Linked DNA regions of Pelodiscus sinensis. The protein of the gene in region 3 interacts with the protein of the main gene of each other region in a pairwise test. Links are inferred from orthologs where the notes say so. Each region holds a gene or a part of one and is shown on either strand. Other genes may lie near its edges. The genes, in order: STAP1, MAP1LC3A and RETREG3.

The links.
Region 1: the proteins of RETREG3 (region 3) and STAP1 interact in binary tests that used the Homo sapiens proteins (3 or more experiments, as listed by UniProt). The two-hybrid records come from large-scale screens. The link is inferred for Pelodiscus sinensis from reciprocal best matches to the Homo sapiens genes RETREG3 and STAP1.
Region 2: the proteins of RETREG3 (region 3) and MAP1LC3A interact in binary tests that used the Homo sapiens proteins (3 or more experiments, as listed by UniProt). The link is inferred for Pelodiscus sinensis from reciprocal best matches to the Homo sapiens genes RETREG3 and MAP1LC3A.

What each region holds. Positions count from the first base shown.
Region 1 is NC_134715.1:4,113,242-4,120,255, reverse strand, and holds the start of STAP1 (signal-transducing adaptor protein 1), read right to left. Parts: upstream 3,042-7,014; 5' UTR 2,775-3,041; coding exon 2,652-2,774; intron 1-2,651. UniProt on the Homo sapiens protein: In BCR signaling, appears to function as a docking protein acting downstream of TEC and participates in a positive feedback loop by increasing the activity of TEC.
Region 2 is NC_134728.1:35,701,178-35,708,381, reverse strand, and holds the start of MAP1LC3A (microtubule-associated protein 1 light chain 3 alpha), read right to left. Parts: upstream 3,006-7,204; 5' UTR 2,870-3,005; coding exon 2,830-2,869; intron 1-2,829. UniProt on the Homo sapiens protein: Ubiquitin-like modifier involved in formation of autophagosomal vacuoles (autophagosomes). While LC3s are involved in elongation of the phagophore membrane, the GABARAP/GATE-16 subfamily is essential for a later stage in autophagosome maturation.
Region 3 is NC_134739.1:8,830,810-8,838,112, reverse strand, and holds the start of RETREG3 (reticulophagy regulator 3), read right to left. Parts: upstream 3,018-7,303; 5' UTR 2,903-3,017; coding exon 2,724-2,902; intron 1-2,723. Other genes in the region: TUBG1 (tubulin gamma-1 chain), read left to right, coding at 3,210-3,342, 3,708-3,820, 5,413-5,580, 5,864-5,932. UniProt on the Homo sapiens protein: Endoplasmic reticulum (ER)-anchored autophagy regulator which exists in an inactive state under basal conditions but is activated following cellular stress.

The DNA.
Region 1 (7,014 bases), on a different chromosome or scaffold from region 3:
TGCTGGGGGTGTGGGGCAGAGACCCCTTTCCTCCAAGGGCTGTGCCACACAGAGACACACATGTTGGCCCCAGCAGCCAGCTGCTTTGAATGGTGTGTGGGGCCGCTACCGACAGGGAGCCAGCCCGCTGGGCTAAAGCGGGCCCGATCCAAATCTGCCTGGGACCATCTGCAATAACCTCAGGACATATTTTGTCAATGGTTTATTTTTATTTGATTCCTTTCACTACCACACACGTTCCACAACCAGCAATCCCCACTCCGGCTGAAATAACACTAGGAAAACGGATCTTTTCTGGTCACAGGCGAAACAATGCTAAGATAGTCAAATCATTAATTATATGGTATCCTAAACATGCTTTAAAATACAGACACAGACTGACTCCATGCCCTAGAGAACGCATGGTTGAAAGCCCTGCTCCCCAAAAGGAATCCATATGGGTCCTATGTGACTCTCTTGGCAGGGTGAGGCCTAAGTTAAGAGAAGAATAAAGAGATAAGAAGGATACAGGTGGATTGGAAACCTCGGCAAAACCAGAAGTTTGGTAAGATTCACTGTTACACCCGCACTGCTCCTGGACATGTCTGACCTAGCCTTGAATGGTAGCCCCTGAGGTGTTCCTATTATTAAAAGCTTGGGAGGAAATGCAGCTGTATATCGGACCCCTCCCGTTTCTGAAATTACTCATCTCACTACAAGCTTTCGTGGTGCCCCAGGTAATCCTGCTGCAGTGCTGAAACATTATCTGTTGCCTGTACGATCTTGGTGTCAGGCACTCAACTGCTGGTATGTGAGCTAGTGACTCTGGAAAGAGAGTAGGTTTTAAATGATTTCACATATGGGAGAAACCTGAAAAATAACTGCTGATTTATTTCTGGACTGAGATGCAGCATGATGAAACTTCAACCAATCTGCCATGCTAGGATATAGCATTAATAGTGATGTTCAAAAATCCTGCTGTTCTAAACTTCCTCTTTCTGTATCGTAGGGAGAAAAAAAATGGTGGTAGTTGCTTTCCTCATTGTGAGATAAGTGTATCTCCTTCCCCCCACCATACTTAAAAAAAAAAAAAAAAAGCAAGAAGCAAAAGTCTAAAGGTAAACTTATTTATGAAAAAGTTCATATCTGAGCAGTGATCAAGCACAGAAAATGTTCAATCTCTTACAGCTATGACTGGGTGGGAAAAAGGAGGATTATAATGGAAATTGTTTTGTAATATTAAATGTAATTATCTCTATCAAGAACTGAAATAAAAAAATCGGTACTAAAAAGCAGTCAGCGCATGTTCAAGGACCTGATCTGTAAATACTTAATACAGGTTGAACCTCTCTAGTCTAGCACCTTTAGGACTTGACTGGTGCTGAACCAGAGAATTTGCCTAACCACAGGAAGTCAATGTTGTCCAGCAGCATTCCCAACTCGTCCACTGCTTGCTGGGCTCTTAGGAGACATTTAGGGGTAAATGAAAGCTAAGTAACAGCCCAGAACCCTGAGAGCCAGGACTGGGGGCTGTAAACAAACTTTATGGGACTGCAGGAAACTTGGCCACACCCGTGATAAGTGGAAATCCTGCTCACTAAAATCATGCCGGACCACGGATGTTGCTGGACCAGAGAGTGCCAGACTAGCAAGGTTTAACCTGTAATCATGTTCATGCATGCATAAAAAATCAAGGTCAGGGCCTAAATGATTATCCTACCTCATTACTCGACTGTGCTTCCAAAACAGTCCATAAATATATGCTCAATCGGTTAGGCATTATATATTGTTAATTATAGTAAGTCATCATCACGCTCATTTAAAATGCTATCTCACTGAGAATTTCAGGATTAAGACTAGTATCGGATAGTTGAGAACAAGGGAAACAAATCAAATTTTGCTCTGGTGGCTTAAAATGTAATTGAAGTGTTGCAGCTCTGAAATCTGTCTCAATCAACTTTCCTGTAGATTATAAAAAAAAATTTAATAGAGTACTGAATAATTATTGTGGTGTGTAAGGCAGTTGTTTTGATTATGCACATGTATGGAATATGCTGGAATCGTTTAAGAGTACACTGGCAAACCTTAAATAAACTTCAGCTTCAGAAATCAACATCTTTCTCTATCTTTCGGTTTGTTATACCATTGTCTACAGTAAAGGAAATGCATGTCTATAAATGGAGAATATTATGTTACATTTTATATTTATATTATTTTATTAAACATTATATTTAGTTGAATATATATAACTAAAATCTGAAAGCAAAAGAAGTAGTTTCAAGTACGGGAAATATTACTTTCTGATGCAACAGCCAGGTCTTGTTTATGTACAAACTTTCACTGAAATATTTAAAGGTGTGAATTAAAACAGATTTTGTGATTTCATTTAAGTCTGTGTGTGGATGGATACTTCAGATTAAGAGTATCCTATTTTGATTTTGCTTAAATTGGTAAATAATTGATCTTAATCAAATTCTCCTGGGACACTTTTATTCTGAAGTAAGTGTCCACAAGAGGCCAGCCATCACTGCCATAAGGAAAGGTAAGAATTCAAAGAAGTTTAATTATTTCAGTGCAAGTTGAGGTGCAGATCAGACCTAAGGAACAGACCTCTAATGAGTTAACAGTTTCTCAAGGAAAGTTTAATTGAACATAGCTTTTTATGCACTTACCTGGTACCGTGTACATCTGATAGATAGAAACCCTTCAAAGTACAAGGGAAGAGCAGTAATCCTCTGTCTCTCCTGGAAGATCCGTCGAGGAGCTGGTTCAGGGATTTTCCCAGGCTCTGCCATCCTGCCTCCACTCTGTCCCCTAAATCTTGCCCGTGTGCTTTTCCACTGTCTATTCTTGCCTGCTTATCTACAGCCTCTGGCAAAGGAAAGCTAACCCTGGTTTGAGAACGCAAGGTGACAGTACAAAGAGGAAGTCTCAGTGGTTACTTTTAAATAAACACACACCACACAGACCCTTTTCTCACTGTACAATCCGAGGAGGAACAAGATTAAATGGATTAAAGGGAAGTTTCCTAGCATGGTAGATTGTTTCCATCATGCAAATGAGAATTATGGCATTTCTTATCAGGATTATCATTACTGGATTTAGTTAGCGATCCCTCCCACAGATTCTGGACTCTTTACAGGTGACCTGCAAAGAGAGAGAGAGAGAGAGAGTGCCCATTGGCTTCCAAAATGTTTGTTTTGGCATTCTAACATTCTGCTTGGCTTTTTACAATATGAATGTCTGATGATTGCTTTTGCGGGAGATCTGGTGAAACCGTGACATCACAAGAGTGATTGAGAGAAGGTATTGTTAGTGAAAACTGCTGTTTTTGTTATGCAGCCAACAAAAAGGAGAACAACTTTCTTTGTGGAAAATCCATCATCCCCAAAAGTTCAGACAACGTGGGGGAGAGTTCCGTTTCCCTGGCTGACATTTTGGCCGTATGGAAGTCAACGGCAAAACTCATGTTGACTTCAGCAAGGCCAGAATTTATCTTCAGGTTTGTGACTATGCCTCAAGAAATAAGACACACCAAGGCATGATGAGATTTCCATAAGTAACAAACAAGCAAAAAGTATTTGAAGGCCTGCTCTAGAAAAAGGGGAACAATATTTGAAGGCCTGCTCTAGAAAAAGGAACACATTTCCCCCCCTTATTTTTGTGGGTTACCTTCACGGCTCCTTTTCTGTTTCTCTGCAACGTTCACGCAGATCCAACAGAGCTTTAATATATGTGACCTTTCCTTCTTGCAAGGCAATTTTTAGACTCTGCAATTACTAGGCAAAGATAACTGAAAATCTGGTCCTTCCCAGAAATATATAAAAGTAAAAAACTCTATTTTTAGTCTGCAAGCAATTCTTTTGTAAGAATTTGAGTTGACAGATTTTTTCTAATTGTGCTACTTTCGGCATATTTTTGTTGTAAAATGGCAGAACTCGACTCTACTGGGGAAATTCAGCAATGGGGCAAGTTTTCTGACATTCAATAGCCGAAGAAGGCCTCTACTGTAGGTTCAGCCTTAGAAAGCCAGCACAATCTAAAACCACCTTGAGTTCAAAACAGAAATCAACATGTAATAAAAAGGGTTGCTTTTTAATTATATTTTGATAGATTACAGCATGATTTGTTGAAGGTGTTGACCCCAAAAGATTTTATATTTCAACTCAGAGGTAGACCCTTGAGGTCTAAAGCATTACTCTCTAAATAATAATAGACTTGTCTCACCACTCTGCTACAGTGTGTGTGTGTGTGTGCGCGCGCGCACATACATGAATGCAAAACGAGTGTAAAAGACTAGTAAATCAGAATGGAACTCACACTGTAGGGATGTGAATCACTACATTAAAGTGGAGGATGTTGGAGAATCAGTTCCTCTCTTTATTAACTCTTATAAGAACGCTTCTTTTAAACAAAATCACCGGAAACAGCATGTCACATATTCAGTTTCTCACTCTTTAATATAGTAACACTTTTTGTTACAGAGATGTGATGATTATTGCATATCACTCTACGATGTTTCTGTAAGCAGGAACTCTCTGTTTAAATAGCTTGCTTGTTTAAACAGAAAGGATTTGTAAACCTTTTAACTATTTCTAAATAAATAATGTTTCTCTTTTCAATTACTTTTTGGGTTTTGTTTTGAAGTGACTGTTCTCAGTGAGTTGCCTTCTCAGTTCTGTAACAGTGTGTGAAGTATCAGAGGGGTAGCCGTGTTAGTCTGGATCTGCAAAAGTGACAAGGAGTCCTGTTGCACCTTATAGACTAACAGATTATGCTCCAATACATCTGTTAGTCTATAAGGTGCTACAGGACTCCTTGTCGCTTTAACAGTGTGAGAGACAGCTTTCCCTTTGAATTTTTCATCTGGCTTTTTTATGATTTTTTTTTAAACACACAAACTGTAGGATATTTTGAACCATTTCAGAGGTGATATTTAGACCTGTTCAAAGTTTCCCTTTCTTTCGAGATGTGTCATCTTTGATGAAACGTCATCCATGATACCTTCCCTAGCGGAAATGATCATTTTCGCAGTGAAAGAACCTCGTGACTTTGTGTTTTTTAATAAACTAAGCAAAACCACAACTGAAGAAACCCTAAATAAATTGCAGGCACCTCTGCACTATTGTTTCACATTTTCATAAAACTTAAGATTTTTCACTTGAGACATCTGCCTCTAGAAGATACTTCCCCCCCCCCAAAAAAAACCTCTGTTAAGATGCTAATCTATATTGTCTTGCACTATGGTTCTTTTACACCACGCCAATGGAGCAAAGGTACCATAAAGGCAACAAAAATATTTACCAGGAAATATCACTAGCACAGAATTTTTTGGCATGCATACTCATGTCCATTCCATTTTAGGTGTGTGTGTGCTGGCCACATGTGCCAGTCCCAGATGTTTTTCTCTCAGCAGTATCTGTAGGGGAACGATTCTGGTGATCCTTAGAGTGGCGTCCTCATGGCGTGATATGTGCTTCCCCCACCCTCTGTTTTTTCTTGTCCCCCATGCTGGTGCACAGATTGTTCACTGCTCTATAGTGTTGCTTGGGTTTTGTTCAGAGCATCAAGTGTTGCATCTGTAAACCCTAAGTGGAGGACTAAGGAGGAGCGAGAAATCAGACTTCGGGCACTGCTGATGGAGTCGGCGCTCACTCCAGCACAGAGCAGCAGTCCCACTCAGCACCCACCATGGTGGCATTGGTGCTGGCGCCAGCGCCCAGCACTGAGCCCCACCTGTAGTTGCGGCCAAGACACCCAGTAAGGCAGGTAGGCACTGGTCTCCCGCTCCCTGTAAGGGGGAGGACAGGCTAAGACCCGTGTTGGGCTCCCTGTTTGGAAAGACGGGCCCCAGCGGTGCAGCCCATCCCATTCCCGGCCGGGACGCAGAAGAGAGACTCTGTCTGCTTCAGGAGTCATCGGCGCCCAAAGCTCTCCAGGCTGCGCAGCAGATCCTGTCGTTCCTGGTGCTGCTCACACCAGCCCCGGCGGCACCCAGTCCTAGGGGCATGCCTGCCTCAGGACCCATCCATCCCGCTTCACCACAGCGGCATCACCCCCATCGCAGGGAACATTCCAGCACCGCTCACCTGCAGGACGTCGACACGTCTCGGACTTGGGGAGCAGTCAGGTCACCAGATTCTGGGCGCCGGCAGAGGTCGTCAAGATGGACTTCGCTGGCAGCCTGGTGCAGATCCTCCAAAGCAAACGCCTCCGGGAGAGAACACTGGGATTGTCTTCATGTGTGTCCACATCCTTTCTATAGTGGGGGGCCCAGAACTGGACACAATACTCCAGATGTGGCCTCACCAGAGCCGAATAAAGGGGAATAATCACTTCTCTGGATCTGCTGGCAATGCGCCGTATTGGTGCCATTCTTGGAGGCACCTAACCCTATGGCTAGCTGCTAGGGGAAAAATCTACTGGCAACTGTGCATGGGTGGGTGCACACACCTGATGGGAATAGATATGTGCAACTCACCTCTAAGAACTACAGTTTCGAAAGGTTTTTATGGACCAGGTCACCGTCTTTTTTTGGATGGCACTGAACTCGCTATAATGGCTCTGCTGAGCCCTTTAAACTCCAGTTTAGAAGGCAGGCCAGGGCTAGCACAACAGTGACACTGAACTCCAGCTATTTTTGGCTGCTGGCAGGACTCCAAGGAGCTGCTCTGGCCTCAGACAAAAAGTTGAGCCTTTCCGAGCTAAGATTTGAAATTAGACTTTGTTTTTATTTTGAAATATTTGCCATGTCTCTCTGGACAGCTACGTATGCAAATCCCATTATAACATACGCTTTTAAGTGAAGGCAGATACAGGTTTCTGGGATACGAAAAGTAAAATGTTTGAGGCCTCTCAGGGGTAGCTGTGTTAGCCTGTAACCTTAAAAACAAGTGGTCCTGTGGCACCTTAGAGACTGACAAAAATATATAGAGAATTATGAGCTTTCATTGGTAAAACCCATTCATCTGAGGAAGTGGGTTTTCCTACTAAAAGCTCATGATTTTACACTATTTTTGTTAGTCTCTAAGGTGC
Region 2 (7,204 bases), on a different chromosome or scaffold from region 3:
TGATACTGGACTTGGGGTGGAAAACTTCTAGTACTTACAGCATGACAAATTACTGTCTATGGAAAAAGGATTAGGAAAAAGAAGCTTCAGATGTTCACAACCCTAGATGAAACTAACTAGTCGCTTCCCCCCACACCTTGCTGCCTCTATCAGAAAGAGAAAGAAGACTAGGGGGTGCTTCAAAGCAGCAGCACCTAGTGGAGCCCGGGGCCAGACCCAGGTCTATCCTGCTGACCCTGGGCTCCATGAGGCACTGCCACTTTAAAATGCTGTGAGGAGCACAGGGCCAATGGGGGACTGCTGGAGTTCCCCCGCTGGCTCCATGCTCCCTGCAGCGCTTTTGCCTTTAAAGTGTCTGTTGCTACACTTCAAAGGCAGAGGCACCCTTATCGATTAATCAATTAGCCAATTAATCCAATGTAACATCCCTAGTTTCATCAGCTTCCACCAATACGCGTTACTAACATTCCAGTCAAATCTTACATGTTTATGGTTATCTGAAGAAGTAGGCTGTGCCCATGAAAACTCACGATATCATCTATATACATGTTTTGTTAGTCTTTAAAGTGTTACCATGCTATTTGTTTTTTAAGTTTATCCTGTACAGACTAACTCGGATACCACTCTGAAGCATGTTTATGGTAGTTTATTGTTCTCTTGACTTCTGCACTGATCCAGCCTTCTTTCAGAGTCTGCCTATCACTATATTTTTAATTTTCTTCCTCCTATAAAATATCTGCACTATCATAGCACCTTCTGTGAATGGTTATGAAATACACTTGTGTTTGAAGCATTATATCTTCTGAACTTCAAAAATATTTTTAGGAAGAACAGTATTTTGAACAAGGAATACTTTGATACCAGAAGGATCTTTAAAAGGAAAGGAATTATTCATCTCACTAGGGTTGAAAGGATGGCACACATACTCAGGTAATAAAGGCTTAATGTATTGTATGGCTGAAAAGTGGCTGATCAATTTCAAAATGCTTTATAAAGAGGAATAAGCAAATTAGTCCTATTTTGCCAACTGGGAAACTGAGGCACTGAAATCACAACAATTTGGTGGTACATGCAAATCTCCTGGGTCCCAATCAGGTGCCTTATCCACTAGAACAATTTAAGGTAGGCCTCTTGCTCATGGTAAGCCACTCACTCACCGGTCCCCAATTAGGGACAAACATGGTAAGGTTTTCAGAAGGACAAAGACCTAAGTTCAAATATATAGGAATACACTAAACAGAGTAAGAACCCCCCCCCCCACCACCACCTTTCCCCTTTTGTGCCAGTTATTTAGAGCAGCATATACTTAAAAATGTATACAATAATCTGTACGATTAATCTGCACATACGATTACTACCACCATATTCACACACAAGGAAGGTGCATGGGTGTAACTGCAAACACAGAGGTCATTTGTTTTTGCAGATACACAGAACTATCATAATTGCACCGAACACATTTCTGCACAAAATGTTTGTAAGTCTAGCTCCCCAAAGCTTGTTTATGTATTAGCAATGGGATTCAAGCCAGAACAACTCCCATAAGCTTAGCAAAAGATGGATCTGAAAATTACAATTCAGACCCATCTTGAAACTAAAGTTTTCCAAGCCTCAATGTGTATTTATTACCTACATTCTTAAGTGCCCATCATCAAAATTCCTGGATTCCAATTATCCATCAGCATTGGGACATACACGGTCATAAATGGAGGCTTATGAAAACTTTACATAAAGCAATTAACTCTCTTCCCCCAAAGCAAAATACTTAAGAAAAATTACTGCTCTGCATTAGTCATTTATCCCCTAGAGGAGAAAACAGGATACAATATAAGCCTATCTTATTAATATTTGCCTAAAAAGGTCATACAAGATCAAAACTATCACTTATTTCTAACAATACGAAACTAAATTACATGAAGTTAAATTAACCTCAGACATAAAACCAAGCATGCCTTCCATTACTATCAATAGACTGTATTTACAGCAGGTTCATTTATAGCACAGATTTCTTTCCTATATTACATGGTGAGCAAAAGAACATACTGCTTCTCACACATTTCACCAATCACGTCAGTGACAACAGACGAGATAGAAATGTAGCCATAGAAATGTAGCCGTGTTAGTCTGGTGTAGCTGAAACAAAAGACAGGGCTATGTAGCACTTTAAAGACTAACAAGATGGTTTATTAGATGATGAGCTTTCGTGGGCCAGACCCACTTCCTCAGATCAAATAGTGGAAGAAAATTGTCACAACCATAGATACCAAAGACTCTCCATGATTTGAAAAGCTTGTCTTACACCTTGACGGACTGCCTGCTGGGATTGAAAGGGAAGCTTTTGGAGGGCATCAGAAATAGACAGGCTAGAATCCTGCCATGTTTGCTTAATCAACCTCTCTCTGGGAGGGGGAGGAGGTGGCTGAGAAAAACACACACATGACTGGACATGTAGCAAGAGTCACGTGCCATCCCAAAGCCGCAGGAGCAGTGCTCCCCACTGACTGTTAAGACCGCTAATTCCCGCCGATGGGTTCTGCAGGCTCCTGGGGCAAACCAGCATTTCCTTTCGCTTGATGCAGGGGTGACATCACCGCGGGGCGGGGCTGCCAATTCCCTCCGGCTCCCCCCGCCCACTCAGCTCCAACCCCAACAAAGCGAGGGGCTCGCCCCGCCCAGCCCCCGCGAGCCACTGGCCGCCACGGGGCGCCCCGCGGGCCTGAGCAGGGGCAGCCTCCCTCAGAGCCCCGGAGCGCGGCGGGCGGGTCCCGCTCAGCGCCCCATGGGGGGGGGGGGGTCGCGCTGCCCCCTCCCGCCGGGCCCCGCACTCACCGAAGCTGCGGCGCTGCTTGAAGGGCCGGTCGGACGGCATGGCTGCGGGGCCGCTCGGACCAGGGGCTCCTGGGGCAGGTGCCCGGGCCGCCCGCTCAGCGCCTCAGCCGCCGTCTGGCGCCCAGGCTCCGGCAGCAACTGCCTGCGGCCAGCGAACGGCGGTGACGTCACCACCCAGCCCTTAAAGGGGAGGTGCAGGGCGCTTTCGGCCGACACCCGTCCGGTGCAGTGTTCCCGCCCCTATTCGTCCCCGCCCCGCCCCCCGGCTTGCCCTCCCCCGCGAGACCCCAGCCTCGGCCCCCCCGCCTCAGACCTCCACTTCCCCCTCCATCGCCCCCCCGCCTCCGACCTCCACTTCCCCCTCCATCCCCCCCCCCGCCTCAGACCTCCACTTCCCCCTCCATCGCCCCCCCGCCTCAGACCTCCACTTCCCCCTCCATCGCCCCCCCGCCTCAGACCTCCACATCCCCCTCCATAGCCCCCCCGCCTCAGACCTCCACTTCCCCCTCCATCCCCCCCGCCTCAGACCTCCACTTCCCCCTCCATCGCCCCCCCCGCCTCAGACCTCCACTTCCCCCTCCATAGCCCCCCCGCCTCAGACCTCCACTTCCCCCTCCATAGCCCCCCCGCCTCAGACCTCCACTTCCCCCTCCATCGCCCCCCCCGCCTCAGACCTCCACTTCCCCCTCCATCCCCCTCCCCCGCCTCAGACCTCCACTTCCCCCTCCATCGTCCCCCCCGCCTCAGACCTCCACTTCCCCCTCCATCCCCCCCCGGCCTCAGACCTCCACTTCCCCCTCCATCGCCCCCCCACCTCAGACCTCCACTTCCCCCTCCATCGCCCCCCCCGCCTCAGACCTCCACTTCCCCCTCCATAGCCCCCCCGCCTCAGACCTCCACTTCCCCCTCCATCCCCCCCCCGCCTCAGACCTCCACTTCCCCCTCCATAGCCCCCCCGCCTCAGACCTCCACTTCCCCCTCCATCCCCCCCGCCTCAGACCTCCACTTCCCCCTCCATAGCCCCCCCCGCCTCAGACCTCCACTTCCCCCTCCATCCCCCCCGCCTCCACTTCCCCCTCCATAGCCCCCCCGCCTCAGACCTCCACTTCCCCCTCCATCCCCCCCGCCTCCACTTCCCCCTCCATAGCCCCCCCCGCCTCAGACCTCCACTTCCCCCTCCATCGCCCCCGCCTCAGACCTCCACTTCCCCCTCCATCGCCCCCGCCTCAGACCTCCACTTCCCCCTCCATCGCCCCCCCGCCTCAGGCCTCCACTTCCCCCTCCATAGCCCCCCCGCCTCCACTTCCCCCTCCATCGCCCCCCCCGCCTCAGACCTCCACTTCCCCCTCCATCGCCCCCGCCTCAGACCTCCACTTCCCCCTCCATCGCCCCCGCCTCAGACCTCCACTTCCCCCTCCATCGCCCCCCCCGCCTCAGACCTCCACTTCCCCCTCCATAGCCCCCCCGCCTCCACTTCCCCCTCCATCGCCCCCCCGCCTCAGACCTCCACTTCCCCCTCCATAGCCCCCCCGCCTCCACTTCCCCCTCCATCGCCCCCCCCGCCTCAGACCTCCACTTCCCCCTCCATCGCCCCCGCCTCAGACCTCCACTTCCCCCTCCATCGCCCCCGCCTCAGACCTCCACTTCCCCCTCCATCGCCCCCCCCCGCCTCAGACCTCCACTTCCCCCTACATCCCCCCCCGGCCGCCTCAGACCTCCACTTCCCCCTCCATCCCCCCCCGCCTCAGACCTCCATTTCCCCCTCCATAGCCCCCCCGCCTCAGGCCTCCACTTCCCCCTCCATAGCCCCCCCGCCTCACACCTCCACTTTCCCCTCCATCCCCCTCCCTGCCTCAGGCCTCCACTTCCCCCTCCATAGCCCCCCCGCCTCAGACCTCCACTTCCCCCTCCATAGCCCCCCCGCCTCAGACCTCCACTTCCCCCTCCATCCCCCCCGCCTCAGACCTCCACTTCCCCCTCCATCCCCCCCGCCTCAGACCTCCACTTCCCCCTCCATAGCCCCCCCGCCTCAGACCTCCACTTCCCCCTCCATAGCCCCCCCGCCTCAGGCCTCCACTTCCCCCTCCATCCCCCCGCCTCAGGCCTCCACTTCCCCCTCCATAGCCCCCCCGCCTCACACCTCCACTTTCCCCTCCATCCCCCTCCCCGCCTCAGGCCTCCACTTCCCCCTCCATAGCCCCCCCGCCTCACACCTCCACTTTCCCCTCCATCCCCCTCCCCGCCTCAGGCCTCCACTTCCCCCTCCATCGCCCCCCCGCCTCAGGCCTCCACTTCCCCCTCCATCGCCCCCCCGCCTCAGACCTCCACTTCCCCCTCCATAGCCCCCCCGCCTCAGACCTCCACTTCCCCCTCCATCGCCCCCCCGCCTCAGACCTCCACTTCCCCCTCCATAGCCCCCCCGCCTCACACCTCCACTTTCCCCTCCATCCCCCTCCCCGCCTCAGGCCTCCACTTCCCCCTCCATCGCCCCCCCGCCTCAGACCTCCACTTCCCCCTCCATAGCCCCCCCGCCTCACACCTCCACTTTCCCCTCCATCCCCCTCCCCGCCTCAGGCCTCCACTTCTCCCTCCATAGCCCCCCCCGCCTCAGACCTCCACTTCCCCCTCCATAGCCCCCCCGCCTCAGACCTCCACTTCCCCCTCCATCCCCCCCGCCTCAGACCTCCACTTCCCCCTCCATAGCCCCCCCGCCTCAGACCTCCACTTCCCCCTCCATCGCCCCCCCGCCTCAGACCTCCACTTCCCCCTCCATAGCCCCCCCCGCCTCAGACCTCCACTTCCCCCTCCATCGCCCCCCCGCCTCAGACCTTCACTTCCCCCTCCATCGCCCCCCCGCCTCAGGCCTCCACTTCCCCCTCCATAGCCCCCCCCGCCTCAGACCTCCACTTCCCCCTCCATAGCCCCCCCGCCTCAGACCTCCACTTCCCCCTCCATAGCCCCCCCGCCTCCACTTCCCCCTCCATCGCCCCCCCGCCTCAGGCCTCCACTTCCCCCTCCATCCCCCTCCCCGCCTCAGACCTCCACTTCCCCCTCCATCGCCCCCCCGCCTCAGACCTCCACTTCCCCCTCCATAGCCCCCCCGCCTCAGACCTCCACTTCCCCCTCCATAGCCCCTCCGCCTCAGACCTCCACTTCCCCCTCCATAGCCCCCCTGCCTCAGACCTCCACTTCCCCCTCCATAGCCCCCCCGCCTCAGACCTCCACTTCCCCCTCCATAGCCCCCCCGCCTCAGACCTCCACTTCCCCCTCCATCCCCCCGCGCCTCAGACCTCCACTTCCCCCTCCATCCCCCCCGCCTCCGACCTCCACTTCCCCCTCCATCGCCCCCCCGCCTCCGACCTCCACTTCCCCCTCCATCGCCCCCCCGCCTCAGACCTCCACTTCCCCCTCCATAGCCCCCCCGCCTCAGACCTCCACTTTCCCCTCCATCCCCCCCGCCTCAGACCTCCACTTCCCCCTCCATCCCCCCCGCCTCAGACCTCCACTTCCCCCTCCATAGCCCCCCCGCCTCAGACCTCCACTTCCCCCTCCATAGCCCCCCCGCCTCACACCTCCACTTCCCCCTCCATAGCCCCCCCGCCTCACACCTCCACTTCCCCCTCCATAGCCCCCCCGCCTCACACCTCCACTTCCCCCTCCATAGCCCCCCCGCCTCAGACCTCCACTTTCCCCTCCATAGCCCCCCGCCTCACACCTCCACTTCCCCCTCCATCGCCCCCCCCGCCTCAGACCTCCACTTTCCCCTCCATAGCCCCACCCGCCTCCACTTCCCCCTCCATCGCCCCCCCGCCTCAGACCTCCACTTCCCCCTCCATAGCCCCCCCGCCTCAGACCTCCACTTCCCCCTCCATCGCCCCCACCGCCTCAGGCCTCCACTTCCCCCTCCATAGCCCCCCCGCCTCAGACCTCCACTTCCCCCTCCATAGCCCCCCCGCCTCAGACCTCCACTTCCCCCTCCATCCCCCCGCCTCAGACCTCCACTTCCCCCTCCATTGCCCCCCCGCCTCAGACCTCCACTTCCCCCTCCATCCCCCCGCCTCAGACCTCCACTTCCCCCTCCATAGCCCCCCCGCCTCAGACCTCCACTTCCCCCTCCATCCCCCCGCCTCAGACCTCCACTTCCCCCTCCATAGCCCCCCCGCCTCAGACCTCCACTTCCCCCTCCATCCCCCCCGCCTCAGACCTCCACTTCCCCCTCCATCCCCCCCCGCCTCAGACCTCCACTTCCCCCTCCATAGCCCCCCCGCCTCAGACCTCCACTTCCCCCTCCATCCCCCCCGCCTCAGACCTCCACTTCCCCCTCCATCCCCCCCCGCCTCAGACCTCCACTTCCCCCTCCATCCCCCCCCGCCTC
Region 3 (7,303 bases):
AGAGGAGGGCATCCAGCCCCTTTTACCTGCCTAGTGACGTTGTCTCTTTTTGGTACGGTTTTAAGAGAAGAAATGCCATTCCACGCCCATCCCATTTTCCTGGCACAACCAAACCCTTACATTGCTTTAAAGTTATGATCAGAGGAAGCTGCCTACCGAATTTGGTGATCCTAGCTCTTACCATTTAGGAGGAGTTCTTGAACAGAGACAAACTCTCTAAAATATCTAGTAGATGAAGGGTCAGACCCACTAGTTCCACTTTAGTCAATTTCTCCACGAAGGGCTGTTCTCCCACCACCCCATGCTCAGTCCCCTGAAAGTAGTATCTGCACTTGTAGTTACCCAGACAAGAATCCTCTTTGGCTAAGTAGTATCATTGGCTCAGACTCCCTTTGGAACACATCATTCTCTTGCAGTCAGAAAGATGCAGACAATCCCCAGGGAGGAGAGGGAAATGAGTGAGAGAGCAGTGTTACAACCACTCAAACTTTCTCATTTGTTTTAAGTCAGCTACCCCCAGCTGCATGAGGCTATTGGAAGACCATGGGACAGAGTTACAAAAACATATTGCAACTGATGAAGTCAAAACTAGCCTACCAGTCACTCCTGACTTTCAAACTAGAGATACAGAACTCACAACAAAGGACTGGTTGGTAACCTTGCAGTTCTACTATCTTGCAAACTTTTTATGTTTAGACTTGGCAGAAGAGAATTCTCACCATTATGTTTTACACTCAAGCTGTAGGTTAGCAGCTATTCTTTTTGGTAGCACATGCTTACATACGACAAACCTAAACTTGAATTACTAGCTGCAACCATTTAACAGCACCAGAATAAGTTTACTGAAAGACACTTGAACATCCATTTTCGGCACAGGGGCCTGTTAAATAAATAGTTCCATGCAGCCATGGACTGCCAGAAACACACTACTGAACCAAAATAATCACACACATCTTTATTAGAACAGCTCAAACGCTAATATTTCTCTGCAGGAGAAAGATCAATGCACTTCCTTGTGGGAGAAGAGAAAATGGCTATTTACATGGACTAACCAACTGACAAAGACTCTAGAACTTCACATGACCTGTTTACTCATGTCATGAGAATCCACTCAAGGCAACAGATGCTACCAGCTTGCTGACAGACCACATCTGGGCTGTCAGCTGCCCGCATGTTCCACCGCTTTGCTCCCCGTCCCCCTGGTCTGCAGACCAGGGAGACGGGGAGCAAAGCAGAGCAAAGCTGCGGAGCACACAGGCAGCGGACAGCCCAGACGCATCTGGGCTGTCCGCTGCCCGCTGCCCGCGTGCTCTGCTGCTTTGCTTCCTCTCCCTGGTCTGCTGGAGACCAGGGAGACGGGCCCCGTTTGTAACTGCAGATCCGACGTAAGTCGGATCCGCGTAACTCGGGGACTGCCTGTATTTTTGCCCACAAAAGCTTATGCCCAAATAAATCTGTTAGTCCTCTAAGGGGCCACAGGACTCCTTGTGTTTTTGTGGATACAGACTAACATGGCTATCCCTCTGCTACACATCAAAAAAATGTATCAACAGGACATTAATGTCCTACACCTAGTCAGTCACTAAAAAAACTACTCTCACTCAGAATTAATCCTATCTACAAACCCCTTAGACAATAAATATTCCACACAGAATTGTATGTTGGTTTCCCAGGAACATTTAGCTCATGCCCATGAGGGATGTAAGCAAGCAGTTGAGCGGAGTATTCAAATACTCGCTCCCCCCTTGCTCCATCTGTATTGGGGAAAGGGGACAGGAGCGGCTAGGGGGAACTGGCTTAAAAGCTGTTTTCCCCTGTAGCATCTTTGCTGAGGTGCCACCTGCTCCCCCCACGCCCCGCCCACTGCTGCCTCTATCAGAGGCAGTAGTAGCAGGGAAAGGGGTGTGCATCCTCAAAGCAGCTTCTGTTCACGGTAGTCCAGGCTAGAATCATAGAATTGGAAGAGACCTCAGAAGGTCATCAAGTCCAGCCCCCTGCTCTAGGCAGGTCCAATTCAAACTAAATCAACCTGGCCAGGGCTTTGTCAAGCCGAGACAAACACCTCTAGGGATGGAGACTCCACTACTTCCCTAGGGAACCCATCCCAGTGCTTCACCACCCTCCTAGTGAAATAGTTTTTCCTAATATCCAACCTGGCCCTCTCCCACCACAACTTGAGACCATTGCTCCTTGTTCTGCATCTGCCACCACTGAGAACAGCCTCACTCCAGCCTCTTTGGAACCTCCCTTCAGGGAGTTGAAGGCCACTGTGAACAGGGGCTGCTGAACTTGGCACGAGCCGGGACCGAGCAGTCCTGGCTCATACTGGTTCCGGGCTGCGGCGGCGCCGGCTTTTAAACAGAGCCAGGCAGTTCTTAGTACCTTTCAAAGGCAGAGCCGCAGCGGTGCCGGAGCGGAGCCGGGGGACTCGTGCCGGCCCCCGGGAGCGAGCCCTGCAGAGCTCCTCCCTTCTCGACAGAGGCGATGCAACTGGTGTCGCCTCCCCCATAAGTCAAACACTCCCCCCCCCCCGCAGGGCGCGCAACCGAGACGCTGTTGCAAAACATCTCCCCCCCCCTCCCCCGAGCTCTCGCCGGGCGCTAGCGGAGGACACGGGGCAAGCCCAGCACGAGCAGACTGGACGCGCCCCGGAGCTCGCCCGCAGCCCGGAAGCGGCGGAGGAGCCCCCCCCCCCCGGGCGCGCCCCTCCCCCGCTCGCTCACCAGAAGGCGCCGTGCGCGCCCGCCCAGCCCAGCGCGCTGCGGCCCGGCCGCTCCCAGACCAGCGCCGCCTGCAGCGCGCTCAGCAGCGGCTCGTAGGGCCCCAGCCGGGCCTGCAGGGCGGCGCTCAGCGCCCGCACCCGCCGCTCCCGCTCGCCGGGCCCGGCCGCCGCCGCCGCCATCGCTTCCCCCGCCCGGGGATCAACATCCGCTCCGCGTCGGCACGTCACGCCGCCGCGCCGGGTCAGCCCGGCCCCCAAGCGGGGTGACCAACCGCCGCCCGCGGCATGGCGGGACACTCAGGGCGCGGCCATCTTCCTGTACGGAAGGGCGCCTTCCTAACTGCGCATGCGCACGGGGAGGTGGGGTGTGGTTGGGTGGTTTTTTTGTGCGCGCGCAGGTTTTTTTCCCTCCTTCCGATGCACGTTGCCAGGGCGATGTTTAGGGGCCGGCCTAGCGCGCTGGTTGACCCGGAAGCGCATCCCGCGCATGCTCAGTTCCGCTGGGCGCCGGGCGGGAGGACGCGAAGGCGACCGGTGCAACGAGGAGCCGGGTCGGGGCGCAGCGGCCGAGATGCCACGAGAGATTATCACCCTGCAGCTGGGCCAGTGCGGCAACCAGAGTGAGGGCGGGGCCTGTGCTTGTGGGCGGGGCTTGTGAGGGGGAGGGGCCTATCCCGGCGCGGGGCTTTGTACGGGGCGGGACCTGTGCTTGTGGGCGGGGCTTTGTGAGGGGGAGGGGCCTATCCCGGCGCGGGCCTTTGTACGGGGCAGGGCCTGTGCTTGTGGGCGGGGCTTGTGAGGGGGGAGGGACCTATCCCGGCGTGGGACCTGTGCTTGTGGGCGGGGCTTTGGGGGGGTCTCTGGGAAACTGAGGCACAGAGTAGGGCCAGGCCTGTCCCCCTCCTGGGCTGGCTGGCTGGGGGCGTGCTGCGGGGGCTTTCATCTCCCCTCCCCCAGGCTGAGCTCTGGCCGCTCTCTCCTGCAGTCGGGTTCGAGTTCTGGAAGCAGCTGTGTGCTGAGCACGGCATCAGCCCCGAGGGCATCGTTGAGGAGTTCGCCACCGAGGGTACCGACCGCAAAGACGTCTTCTTCTACCAGGTAAGGGGGGGCGTCCCACCAGGGCTCTGCGCTGCATGCTCCAGAGAGCTCTGCTCCTCCCCGCCGCCGGAGTCCATCGCTGAGATCCAGCCCAGGCTCGGCCAGATGCCCTTTTCCTAGGGCTTCCCCTCTGAGCCTCCTCTTGCAAAACAAAAGCATCACTCCGCCACAGAGATGAAGCTCTGGAAGTCTGGCACTGCCAGCCCCCTGTTGGCATAATGCTGGTATCTCCCAAAGCCTCCAAGAGCCCAGGGGGGATCCTACTCAAGAGTTTCTGGTCCACATTTCTTCTCTGTTCTCTCTGGCTGGAGCCCAGGCTGGCTTGTGGGGTCAGCAGTAGTGAGATTCAGTTGTTATGTCAGTCCACAAAGTCTGCTCCTAGTCAAAACCCTTCCCTCTTGATGGTTCTTATCTCCTCTGATGAGAACAAACCCCACCTCTAACTCCTCCTGCTGAGGACACGCTGGGGATTTTGTCTATCCAGCAATTCAAATTTGAATTATGAAAAGGGGCTGATGAACTCAGTCCAGCCCAAAGCTCATTTACGTCATTGGTTTCTCTACCAAGATCTACTGCTTAACAGCATGTTGTCATGGCCTAGGGCAGGGATGGGGAACCTATGGCCTACAGGCCGGATCCTGCCCCGATTTGGCCTGTGATAAGGTTTGGAGCTTACCCTTGCAGTGGGGTGAGCTGGCACTGGTGCCAAGGCTTGGAGACTGTGTAACTGGCGCACCAGCTCCCTGCTGCAGTGGAGAGTAGCAGGGAGCCAGCGTTAAAACCCCTGTATGATCAGCTCTGCCTTGTGCAGGGAGGAAGTGGATCTGCATGCTGCTGTTTCCCCTCCCCCTCGCCTGGGGGAACAGCAGGGCAGGGAAGCCTGTCCCTGTGTTTTCCTACAGGCTTTTCCCCTGCCACTTCCATTGGCCAAGAATCATGGGGTGCTGCCTGCGAGCACAGGGCAACATGAAGCCACCGGTGCTTCTCCCCCCCCCCCCCCCCCCCGCCAAACAGAACTGCATCAGAGAAGTGCCCCGATCCACTGCCTCGTCTCGCACCCAATGGGTCAGTGCAGTGCTTCTTGTAAGCTGGGTGCTTGTGCAGCCACTCAGGAGCAATTCCAATGCCTCCCAGCTGATTAGCAGAACACCCACAGCTAGTATTGTGTTTCTACTGGTGGTGTATGTTTGCACATGCCCTGGTGCACATCAAAATGTATTTTGCACATGGATGGAAAAAATCTGCACCTGGAGGGAAAAAGATTAGGCCAATGGTTCCCCACCCCGGCGTAGAGCCTGATGTGCTGTAGAGGACGATGGGTGTAGAGCGCTGGGGACCAAAGGAGCAGTTCATATTTGTTCCATATTTACTCTGGTTGGGAGCTGTTTGGGTCAGGCCCATGTCTTTATTCCGTGATGCCCAACATGACTGGGCTACTAGGGGCTCCCACAGTACAGCCAATGCAGTTCCTGTACAGTCTCTCACAGTAAAGGTGTGTTATACTGTTCTCTCACCAGTGGGTGGCACCCTCTGTCACAGTCTGGAATTGTGCCTCGTTTTGATTCTAGGCCCTCTTGTCCTTCTCTGTGCAGGCGGATGACGAACATTACATCCCCCGAGCTGTGCTGCTGGACCTTGAGCCCCGAGTGATCCATTCCATCCTGAACTCCCCCTACGCCAACCTGTACAACCCAGAAAACATCTACTTGTCTGAGCATGGTGGTGGGGCTGGGAACAACTGGGCCAGCGGCTTCTCCCAGGTAACAGGGCTGGAACTGGCCCGTGCAACTGTAACTCCGATCCCTGGGCTGGAGATGTTGTCTGGGATGTCTGGTCTCCCAGCAGGTGCTGGCATGTGATTGCTGTGGCACCTTTCAGCGGTGATTTGCAGGTGACAGCTCGCAGCCAACTGTCTGCCGGCATGGCTGGAAGCCTCGTCTCTCAGCTGATTTGGCTTTGCAATGTGTCTGGGAAGTGGCTCCTTGCAGCTGCCCCTGGGGAAAATCAATGAACGATACCTTTGCTTTGGTTTTATCTCGCTAGGGCGAAAAAATCCATGAAGATATCTTTGACATCATAGACAGAGAGGCTGATGGGAGCGACAGCCTAGAGGTAAGGAAATGAGGATTCCCTCGTCCGTTGTTTTCTGAGCCAGGCTGCTATTTTCGGAGGGCAAGCCCGACCCTAAGGTTTCTGCTGTGTTGTCCACGTGGAGGCAAGGTCTGTAGGGAAGCCTGGCAGGTTGAAGATCTTTGGGGGTCAGGAATCTGGATGCTAGGCAACAGACACATGGAAAGGGTTAATCCTAGGCAGGAGGCCTTTCTCATCTCTGCCACATCCTCTCAACCTTCCCTTTCACCCCGGGCCCACCTGAGACAGGCAGGAGTTGTCCCTGCTGTGTTCCTTACTGAACATTTTCCAAATCCAGTTACAAAGAGCACCAGCAGCAGGCTCTTCCCAGAGCAGATGATGGGCCCTTACCAGGACTCACAACTAGGAAGGCCTCCATTTACCTTTTCTTCAGTTCATCCCATTCCTCCTGCTTGTCTCCTTTAGTATTGGCCTGAATAGCTCCCCTCTCTGCTTCCAAAGGGAGAACATGCTAGCCCCGTGCTGTCCTGTGCTGTCCGCTCCTATTGGTACCCATCTTTCCAGGCTGCCCTCCAATGACTCTCCTGCTCCAAGAAGAGCGCTGCTGAAGTGGCACCTGCCTGCTCTGTCAAGGCGTCGCAGGCGGAAGGGTGTTTAGTTTGGTGCCGGGAGTGGCAGCCTGCAGGTGTTCTCAAGAGGGCTTTGTGTGCCTCGGAATCGGCTCTGAAGAGCTCGTGGCAGCTGGTTTCAAAGGGCTTGAGCCTGTCAGATTCCATGTGCAGGCCTGGCCCTCTGACCCTTCTGCTGCTATCAGTGATGCTGTGGAAGGAGGGACTCTCCGTCCAGCCATGGGATCCCATCTGGGCTTGCGCCTGTTTCACTTTCACCCCTGAGCAGACAGAGCCCCCTGCTGTTTACATCTGGCGGTTGCATGGCAACGGGGGAGGGGGGAAAGGTGATAGGAAATAAGAGGTGGCAAGAGGACTGAGGAGCAGCTGGGGGAGAGGCTTAGAGCACCTCTGAGCTTATTTGGTTTAACTGAACAGGCCTCAGGGGAAACAGGGTCCCTTCCGGTGTCTGTGTGGCTCCTGGGAAGTGCTGAACTCGGGGGAGGGGGCCCTCCGCAAGGCTTGTGAGCGGGGAGCGCTGTTCTCGGTGGGTGCCGAGAAGGGAGCCCCTGTGCTTGTGACAGAAGCGCTGGGATTGGTTTGCAGCTCTCCGGGCCTCGTGGGGCTACGCTCGGAGTGTTGGGGACTGCCCGCGCGCCCCAGCGATTCCTGGCACAGGGCCAGAGGGCGGCAGCTGCCATCTGGCCTGGCCTAGGCTCTGGCATTAGCCAGTACTGTGGCTTGCCCCATTCTGCCAATGAGGGGAAGCCCCTGCTAAGCTGCC